Coturnix japonica: one gene and its partner. The protein of the gene in region 1 binds, or shares a complex with, the protein of each later gene. Links are inferred from orthologs where the notes say so. Each region holds a gene or a part of one and is shown on either strand. Other genes may lie near its edges.

What was found.
Region 2: the proteins of RAD1 (region 1) and RHNO1 are in contact, whole or in part, in a crystal structure (PDB 6J8Y), measured with the Homo sapiens proteins. The link is inferred for Coturnix japonica from reciprocal best matches to the Homo sapiens genes RAD1 and RHNO1. Residues at the interface, in NP_002844.1 of Homo sapiens: Asn47, Gly48, Ile49, Lys50, Phe64, Ile65, Gln66, Ser149, Lys155, Ile157, Glu211, Ala212, Lys240, Val241, Ser242, Arg244, Gln254, Tyr255, Met256, Phe266, Glu268; in NP_001239428.1 of Homo sapiens: Ser55, Trp56, Val57, Ser58, Pro59, Asp60, Phe61, Asp62, Thr63.

The regions. Positions count from the first base shown.
Region 1 is NC_029547.1:9,684,754-9,689,142, reverse strand, and holds the start of RAD1 (cell cycle checkpoint protein RAD1), read left to right. Parts: upstream 1-1,575; 5' UTR 1,576-1,706; coding exon 1,707-1,901; intron 1,902-2,803; coding exon 2,804-2,912; intron 2,913-3,920; coding exon 3,921-4,179; intron 4,180-4,389. Other genes in the region: BRIX1 (ribosome biogenesis protein BRX1 homolog), read right to left, coding at 72-115, 532-643, 1,309-1,461. UniProt on the Homo sapiens protein: Component of the 9-1-1 cell-cycle checkpoint response complex that plays a major role in DNA repair. The 9-1-1 complex is recruited to DNA lesion upon damage by the RAD17-replication factor C (RFC) clamp loader complex.
Region 2 is NC_029516.1:68,392,887-68,397,203, forward strand, and holds the start of RHNO1 (RAD9, HUS1, RAD1-interacting nuclear orphan protein 1), read right to left. Parts: upstream 2,840-4,317; 5' UTR 2,584-2,839; intron 2,002-2,583; 5' UTR 1,906-2,001; coding exon 1,738-1,905; intron 326-1,737; coding exon 1-325. Other genes in the region: FOXM1 (forkhead box protein M1), read left to right, coding at 4,231-4,317. UniProt on the Homo sapiens protein: Involved in microhomology-mediated end-joining (MMEJ) DNA repair by promoting recruitment of polymerase theta (POLQ) to DNA damage sites during mitosis.

The DNA of each region.
Region 1 (4,389 bases):
CAACTAAAAAGAGATGTTTTGAGCTTGGTTGCCTCTTGCTCACAGAAAATAAAGATTAAAACCAGAATTACCTCATTAATTACAAACAGCTTGTCTTTACGGTCCATTTTAGTATCTGGAAGACAAAAACAACGTTGAGAAGGCCTGAACACATAATTAAACAACAACATTTTATAACGGTGTTTGCACGAGTTTTTACTGGCTGTGAATGGAAGATCAGCTACCAAGGGCTTTTTAGCCACGTCATGCTATCACAGAATATCCTGAGTTGCAAAAGTTCCACAAGGATCATGGAGTCCAATTCCTGGCTTCAATCATTTGTTCAATCCAATTGAAACTGAATAAGCCTGGTTTGTTATCATGTATTTTCCGAATTCTAGAATGTGTCCTATGACGCTTTTCTGCACTGTAACAGATATTCAGACTACATTTTATATGTCCCATTATTCACAATCAGTCAGTACCAGATTCTCAGAAATACTTGGTTTGAGGTCACTCTGCAAATGCACTACGGATAACACTCAGCCCTACCTGCTTTAGAATGAGGCATCAGCGTTCTCAGGTCTTGCATTAGGTGCCTTGTTCTGAAATTAATCCCACGAGAGGAGAAAATAAGCACCCGCTCCTTGTTCTTCCATTTACCCTAAAAAACAGACAAAAGCGTTAAACAAAAACCTTAATTTTCTTAAAGTTTCTTACAACAACACCCATTTGAACCGCAGCAACAGAAAAGATGAGCAAGAACATTCATAGCAATCTCATCACCCGCACAGAAACTCCGCAAAGGTTCGACTTCTGACATTACTGCTCACTGCAACGCATATATACAAAAGGCACATAACAACATTAAGAACTCCGCACACAATGGATGTTTTAATAAGAGGGCCCGGCAGAGGCACAGGCTGCCTTCAGATGAACATGTGCTGCGGGCTCGGGCCGCAATGTGCTTCAACGAGAAGCAGCAGCAACTACAGCCATTCCTGAGGCTCCTCAGAGCAACTCCGACACCAAGCACACTCATCATCCATAAAATCGTCTGCATAGAACTCAACTGAAGGCGTTTCTAGATTGTGGTAATACAGCTGAATCGATCGGCCAGAACAGCGCTTTTTTGTCAGCGCTTCCCAGGACGCTATTTCTGTTTGCAGTAACATAATTAGAATGGAACCGCTTCCCAGGACGCTGCTTCTGTTTGCAGTAACATAATTAGACTGTTACAGCCCTCACAACCCGCGCAGTGCCTGAGCTCCCCTCAGCGCCCCGACTCCCAGCGCCGCCCAGCTGGGCCCCAACGCGCCCCGCCGCTACCTGAGAGACCGGCGCCGGGATGCTGTACTCCTCCGGGGCCGCTCCGTCCGGGGCAGCCTTAGCGGTGGCCTCGTTCGCAGCCGGAGCCGCCTTCACTCGCTTCTTCGGCCTCGCAGCAGCCGGCAGCTCACGCTTCCTCTTGGACACCGCCATCTTACAGACACCGCGCCGTGCGCACCTCGCACTTCCGCCCGCTCGCCGCGCCACCGGAAGCGCCGGCGCAGCTGATAGCCGTGGCTTCAGGCCCCTGTAGGCCCGTGTAGGCCGCGCTAGGCCAGTCCGGTCCCGTTAGGCCGCGGTAGGCCCGGTCCGGTCCCGTCAGGCCGCGCTAGGCCCGGTCCGGTCCCGTTAGGCCGCGGTAGGCCCGGTCCGGTCCCGTTGGGCTCCAGGAGCCGGCCATGCCGTTCTCCACGCAGTCCCCCGGCAGCAGCGAGCAGTACGTCCTGACGGCCAGCCTGGATAACGCCCGCAATCTGTCCAGCCTCCTTAGGGCCGTCCACTTCCAGGATCATGCCACTTGCTTCGCCACAGACAACGGGCTTCGGGTGACTGTAGAGGATGCCAAATGCATTCAGGCCAATGCGTTTATCCAGGTAGGGTCTGGAGGCTGAGCTGCTTCCCGTGGTTAACGGTGAGAAGGGGCTGGTAGCAGCGTTAGGGACTCGAATAAGTGATGTGGTAGAACTGGTGTACAGAAGATGAGCTGTGGGGAAGGGGAAGCTTTAGTAAAGCCATAGAGTATTTGCAGAAGCTAATGTGAGGAAGATGCAGTGATTAGAATGTGGCCATTAATTAATCATATAGTGGTTGGGAACAGTCACATTGTCAAATCCTGCCATAGACAGATCATAAAATCATTCATGTTGGAAAAGACCTTGATGGGATGAGAGGTAATGGTATCCAGTTGTTCCAGGGGAGGTTCATGTTGTACGTAAGGAAAAACTTATTCTCAGAAAGAGTGGAGAGGTGTTGGAACAGACTACCCAGGGAATTGAAGTCATTGTCCCCAGAGGTGTCCAGAAATGAGGAGATGTAGCACTGAAGGACGTGGTTTAAGGAGTCTTGTGGGGATGGCTGATGGTTGGACTAGATGATCTCAGCAGTCTTTTCCAACCTTCATGTTTCTATGCTAAGTCCAGCCATCAACCTGACCTCCTCATTATCATTAACCCAGGTCTCCTAATGCCACGTCCACACATTTTTTAAGCACCTCCACCACTGCCCCAAGCAGCCTGGTCCAATGGTTGATCACCCTCTTCAGAAGGAGAGTCTTCCTCATACCCAATCTGTGCCTCTCCTGGTGTAACTTGTTATCATTTCCTTGTGCCGTATCACTTGTACCTAAGAAAACAAACATCTCCATTACTGTGATTATGTGTTAGGTAGTTATAAGCAAATGAAGAGATCTCCCAGTCACTGAAAATGTAAGACATGAGTAAGTTGTGAAGTAATTGGAAAAGCTTCACTGTTTTCATCTCTTACTTTTCTCCCAAAGGCGGAAATTTTTCAGGAGTTTCATGTTCAGGAAGAATCAGTCGTGTTCCGAATCAATTTGGCAGTTCTTCTTGACTGCTTGACCATTTTTGGAGCCAGTTCTTTGCCAGGTATAGTGTATATATATGTATATATTCCTTGACTGTGTGTATGTATAGCCTGTAATTGCACAGTGAAACCTGTGCTTGTCCATAGGTAGATATCCAGTCTTAGTAAAACTTCTGACTTCTTTACCTCAAGCTCTTCCAAGGGTGGAAGCTCTCATCCTTAAGAGGTTGGAACCTGCAGTTTAGTACTTGTTGAACAAGTGTCCCATTGCTGTGAACCATAGCAGAAGTCATCACATTGAGAGAGAGTACAGATACAGCTTGGAATTTCTTAAAATTTCTTAAAAGAAGCAAAGTGTTCCCTTTTATTATGGGGTCCTTTTTGCTCTTCAACACAAATGTTGAATTATATTCCTTTAAAAAAAAAAAAAAAAAAAAAGGGGAAATTTTGTTTCCTGGGAGGTTTTTTTTTCCTGCTTACTTAAGGAGTGTTCAAAAAGAAGTTTTCACAAGCAAAGTTTTCACGGAGCACTGGAACAGGCTGCCCAGGGAGGTGGTGGAGTCTCCTTCTCTGGAGATATTCAAGACCCGCCTGGATGCCTTCCTGTGTGACATGGTGTAGGGAGCCTGCTTTGGCAGGGGGGTTGGACTCGATGATCTCTAGAGGTCCCTTCCAACCCCTACAATTCTGTGATTCTGTGAAAGATTGTTACAAAGATAGTTAGGCTAGCTGTGTGGGTCCTGCAGGATGCACTATATATTCATATGGAGTAGTGTGAAAGGATGTGGGCTTTCTCATGCTGCTTTACCACTGGAGCTATGTGTTGAACTCCAGATTCCTCTGCTGTTACTGCTGTCTGAACTGAAGACCCAAACCTGAACTGCCCTGTGATTTTAGTAAGCTAAACATTCAGATGTTTAAGAAAAAGAGATTCACGACCATAGTGCGAGCTAAGCTGTGTTAAGTTTTGTTTGGTTGAGCTATATGACAGGAAAACCTGAATTTCCTGAAGTGATAAGATGCCCTGATGGACATTCTCTGAACAACATGTATTTCACACTCCTTTTCAGGAACATCAACAGCTCTTCGGATGTGTTATCGTGGGTATGGCTATCCCTTGATGTTGTTCTTAGAAGAAGGAGGAGTAGTGACAGTGTGCAGAATTAATACTCAAGAACCTGAGGACTTGTTAGACTTTAATTTCTGCAGCACCAATGTCATCAATAAAATTATCCTGCAGTCAGAAGGGCTACGAGAAGCATTTTCTGAACTTGATATGACCAGTGAAGTTCTGCAGATTACCATGTCTCCAGATAAACCATATTTCAGGTACTAGAAACTATCTAAACTTCAACTCAGATGTTCCTGCTCATCCTATTTGCTCTTCCCTTGGTGAGAAATGGAATTTTACAGAGTGAAGAGGAAAAGCCCTTAGGAGAATTAGAGTCTGGGGGTGTTGGTTGATGAAAGACTCAACATGAGCCAGCAATGTGTGCTTGCAGCCCAGAAGGCCAACTATCTTGGGTTGCATTGTGAGAA
Region 2 (4,317 bases), on another chromosome or scaffold:
CAGGTAATGATGGTGTTTCACTATAGTTCTCAGTACCATTCACCTGGATGTTGGCTTTTGATCCTATCCCTTTCTTGCACTGGCCGTGAGAATGCTGTGTGTTCTTTCCTGCGTGACTCAGCACATCCGTGGAGCGGACTGCACGTTCTTCTGAATTCTCAAAATTTAAAGGAGGAAATTTGCAGGCCACAGATCTCCGACAAGCTCTCTCTGCATGAAGCAAGCCAGAGCTGGCATCCTGATTCTGAGGCTTGTGAGAACCACGTTGCTTCTTCTGACACACTCTCAGAACCAATGACTTAGTTGTTTCAAATTGGGGGCACACCTGAAGACATAAGAAGAAAAAAAAAAAAACAAAAAACCAAAATGGTATTTTTCTCCAGAGGAACACCAACCTTATTCTACTCCCCCACCCATCCCATCTTTCCTCAGTGTGTTGATTAAATGGGTAAGCTGGCCTGCAGCAAAGCAAACTAGTTGTTATCCAAGCTGGTAAGCAGGAAACACCTCTGAACTTCAAAGTTCTGTTCTATCACTTTGATAAGCGAGTGGAGTACAAGTGAACTATTATGGCCCAAATATTCCTGAGCAACTATAGCTACAAATGGGAGTAATATGAAGATAATGTTCATTAGGCCTTCAAAATATTCCCCCAAAACATGCTTTCCTCAAACAGTTACTCTACAACACAAAGATTAACAGATGACCACAAAGTCAATTCTACTAAAATCAGCTTTCTGTCAAAGCTCAATAACCTATACTTCATTGAAAGACTTTGGGCACTTACTCAAGACTTGCAAATCCTTCTTTTTACAGTAGTCTTTATCTTCTGGGGTTTCAAAAGTCAGTCAAAACAGTCCTAGAGCATCCCAACCTGGATATCATTATGACAACCACAAACCCCTTTTAGCCTTCTCAGGTTTCTACACATTCCCTCAAAAACTAAGTGCAAGCTAATTATGGGTACTGACTATATACTGTACACCTGAACTGACTGAACCAAAGCCATTCTTTAGACAATCATGGCTCATGTTTCCAGTAATTGTATCCTAGCACAAACTGTACACAAGTGAACAACTGACCTGGACTTCCTTTTCAGAGAACATAGCACATAGGCTTTACCAGGAGCCTAACAGTCAAGAGGGTCTGAAAGAGCAGAAACCTCAATCTGAGTAGGAACTCAGTTGCCAGTGAAACCAAGTGATATCCATCCATAGAGAACAGTTCAGGGAGTTGTAAACCTACCAGTATGTTCTAACATCTAATAGCTTCAGTGCTATTGACTTCAGAGAAATCACTGGATATTTAGAACAAAGGACAACGTGGTTATTTGAAGCTCTTCCAAACAAAAAGCACACTTTATCACAGCAATTCTTTCATGCAGCATTTCAGAAGCCATAGCACTAACTTACCTATATATAAAAATTACATGGTAAATCTTTCAATTGCCATAGAAAGAAAGCTTCTTCCTCACCAGAATTAGATTTTCAGAAGACAAATAGAAACCACAGTCTGTATACACTATAGTTTTATGCCTTCAAATACCCAGGATTTTATTTTTTATATTTGAACATAAAAAAACTCATATGCACTTATTTATGCTTTAGGCATCTATAATGAATTCAGGTCCATGCTGTTGATTTTCATTATCAGGATACAAAACTTTCTGTTGAGATGTGAGAGAAACTTAAAAACCTGTTTTTGCAAGACACAGAGAAACTGATAACGTATACCAACCCAGGCAGCAAAGGTGTTGTGGTCTACAGGCTTTGTAGAAACACATACTGGATTTTCAGCCACACACAGTGGAGTTTCACAGCAACGGATGGGTGCCTCCCACTGACTCTCAATGAATACCAGCTCTGCCTTTCTAGTCTTCCGGGTACGGTTCTTTTTGGGAGGCATCAGACAATAAGATAAAACCGCTTTGAAACCTCATGATGCTCACTAGTACCAATTGGAGGAGGAGGAAAGCACTTTGATGCTCAAGCACCCTCAAATCTGTAGAAAATAAATAAAAGGAAATGGACTTGAACAATTATTTAGAAACCTCAGATAAAGACTTTGAACAAAACACTAGTACAATAACATGCAGATCTCCATATAGACTGTTACCTACCAGTAGTTTTTATATCTTTTATCAGATTCCAGGCAGATTTAGCATATATATATATATATATATATATATAGTAGAATGAGTAATTAAGTGCTTCAAAGCTTCATGAAGGCACAACCAAACATGTGATGGTAAACAGCCACACTGAGTTGCATAACAAACTTTATAACACAAAGTAGTTGTAGAGCAGGTACGTGTTACTTGGCTGGCTGGGTGCAGGGGGTTAACTCCTTCCTAGCCTGCACACCAAAAGGAGGTAAACATCTCTATTTATCAGGGGAATACATGCATATTCATGGTACGAGGATATTTTTCCATGTAGAAGCAGATTGACACTGGTGAGAAAATACCATGCAAGAAGTACATTTTCTTATTCAATATATAAAGCTACATAATAACCGCTTGCTACATATTATCAAAACAACTGACCAGCCCCCTTAACATGCCAGAAGATTTAGAGACACAACCTTATTATCCACCAACCAGTGAAGTCCAGATGCTCTTGGAGGTCTCTGTGAAGGCAGCTGGAGCCACGCTTTCCTCCCGGTAACACACAGCGATGAAGAGTCAAACCACAGAAGAGTCAAACCTGGCTGTAGGGTTGGAGCCTCACAGTCTCAGCTCGGATAACTCCTCTCGAAGCGGATAACGACCCTTAAATTAAGAGTATTTACAGGTGACCACAGCCCCACCGTGCTCAGCACCCACCCCATATAGTACATACCCATCAGCCCGCCCGGCTCGGCCCCGCCCGCCGCTGCGTTTCACTGGCCCGGAGCTCCACGTGATGGCAAGAAACCGCTGAGCGCCAAATTCAAACAGGGAACCGATGGCGATGGCGGGGGGTGGATCCGAGCCGGGCTGCAGGTGGTGAAGCTGGATCTTCCTTGCGCCTCTTCTGCTCGCCTGGGGAGGGGGTGAGTTGGGACCGAAGCTCGGCGTTCATTCCTTGTTGTACTGCGCTCTCCCGTTGTTTGGGCTTTCCCTGTGAGGAGCTGCGTGGCCCGGTGAGGTCTGAGAGTCCGGGAAGTGAGGGTTGTGGTTTACAGCGGGTGACGTAGGTTTGAGGGGATACTTGCTTCGTTCTTCAGTATCACGAGCTCTTTTGCTTCGTTCTCATCGCTTTATAGAGCTGTGAGCACCTTCCTGCTGCTGAAAACAGCTTTTGGCCTGTTTAGGAAGTTTCTGGCCTTCAGCTGCTGAGCAGCCTCTGGCCCCAGTGCTTCCTGCTCATAGAGAGCTCATCTAATGGGTGTTTGCCACTGTGTGTCTTTCCAGGTGATTCTTACTGTACCTGCATTTGTCCTCCACTCCTTTCTACTTTTCTGTTTCCCACGTCTTATACCAGCACTTAAATCCATTTTTGGTCAGGCTGTGTTCTGTTGCTTACAGCAGATTGCTATGTCTGTATTCTGGTTTCTCATCCCTCCAGCTTACTGGCTGATGCTGGTCAAGTAATTTCCCAGCTAAGTCTTAGCATCCCTCATACAGGTAGACATCCAGACGGGTCTTGAATATCTCCAGAGAAGGAGACTCCAGAACACCCCTGAGAAGGCTATTCCAGCGCTCTGACAGTGAACAAGTCTTTCTTTCTATTAGTATAGAACTTCCTGTTGTTCCAGTTTCTGCCTATTGTCCGTTGTTACATTGTTGCTTGCCACTGAGGCGTCTGCCCCCATCAATTTCACTCCTTCACTTTAGATATTTATAAAGAGTTATGAGATCCCCTTTCAGCCTTCTCTTCTCTAGACTGGAGAGTCCCAGGTCTCTCATCCTTTAGATATACATGCTTTCCTTGTTATTAGATACATAATGACATTCAACTTCTGATGCAAGTATTTACTCTGCGAATCCTGCTTCCACAAGCTGTTGATAAAGAGGTGAACTGTATTTTCCTGTAGCCTAGTCAACCTTATTATAAGCTTTCATTTTTGTTTTTCTTTCTCTGTTTTTTAGCAGCGTGGGGATTGCTGAGAATATAAGTGCTGTGAAAGACCTGTGGTGTGTTTGTTGACCTTTTTTATCTATTCCTACTGTCTGCACTCATATTGTGTTTTTGTTTTGCAGGACTTGTTCCTCTCATTTTCAATGGAGAGTGACTGTACAGATAAATAATGAGGACCAGCCCTTGCAGGCCCTTAATTCTCAAAAGAAGGAAACTGACCCTTCTACAGAAGGAGGCATCCAGTACTTCAGGAAGA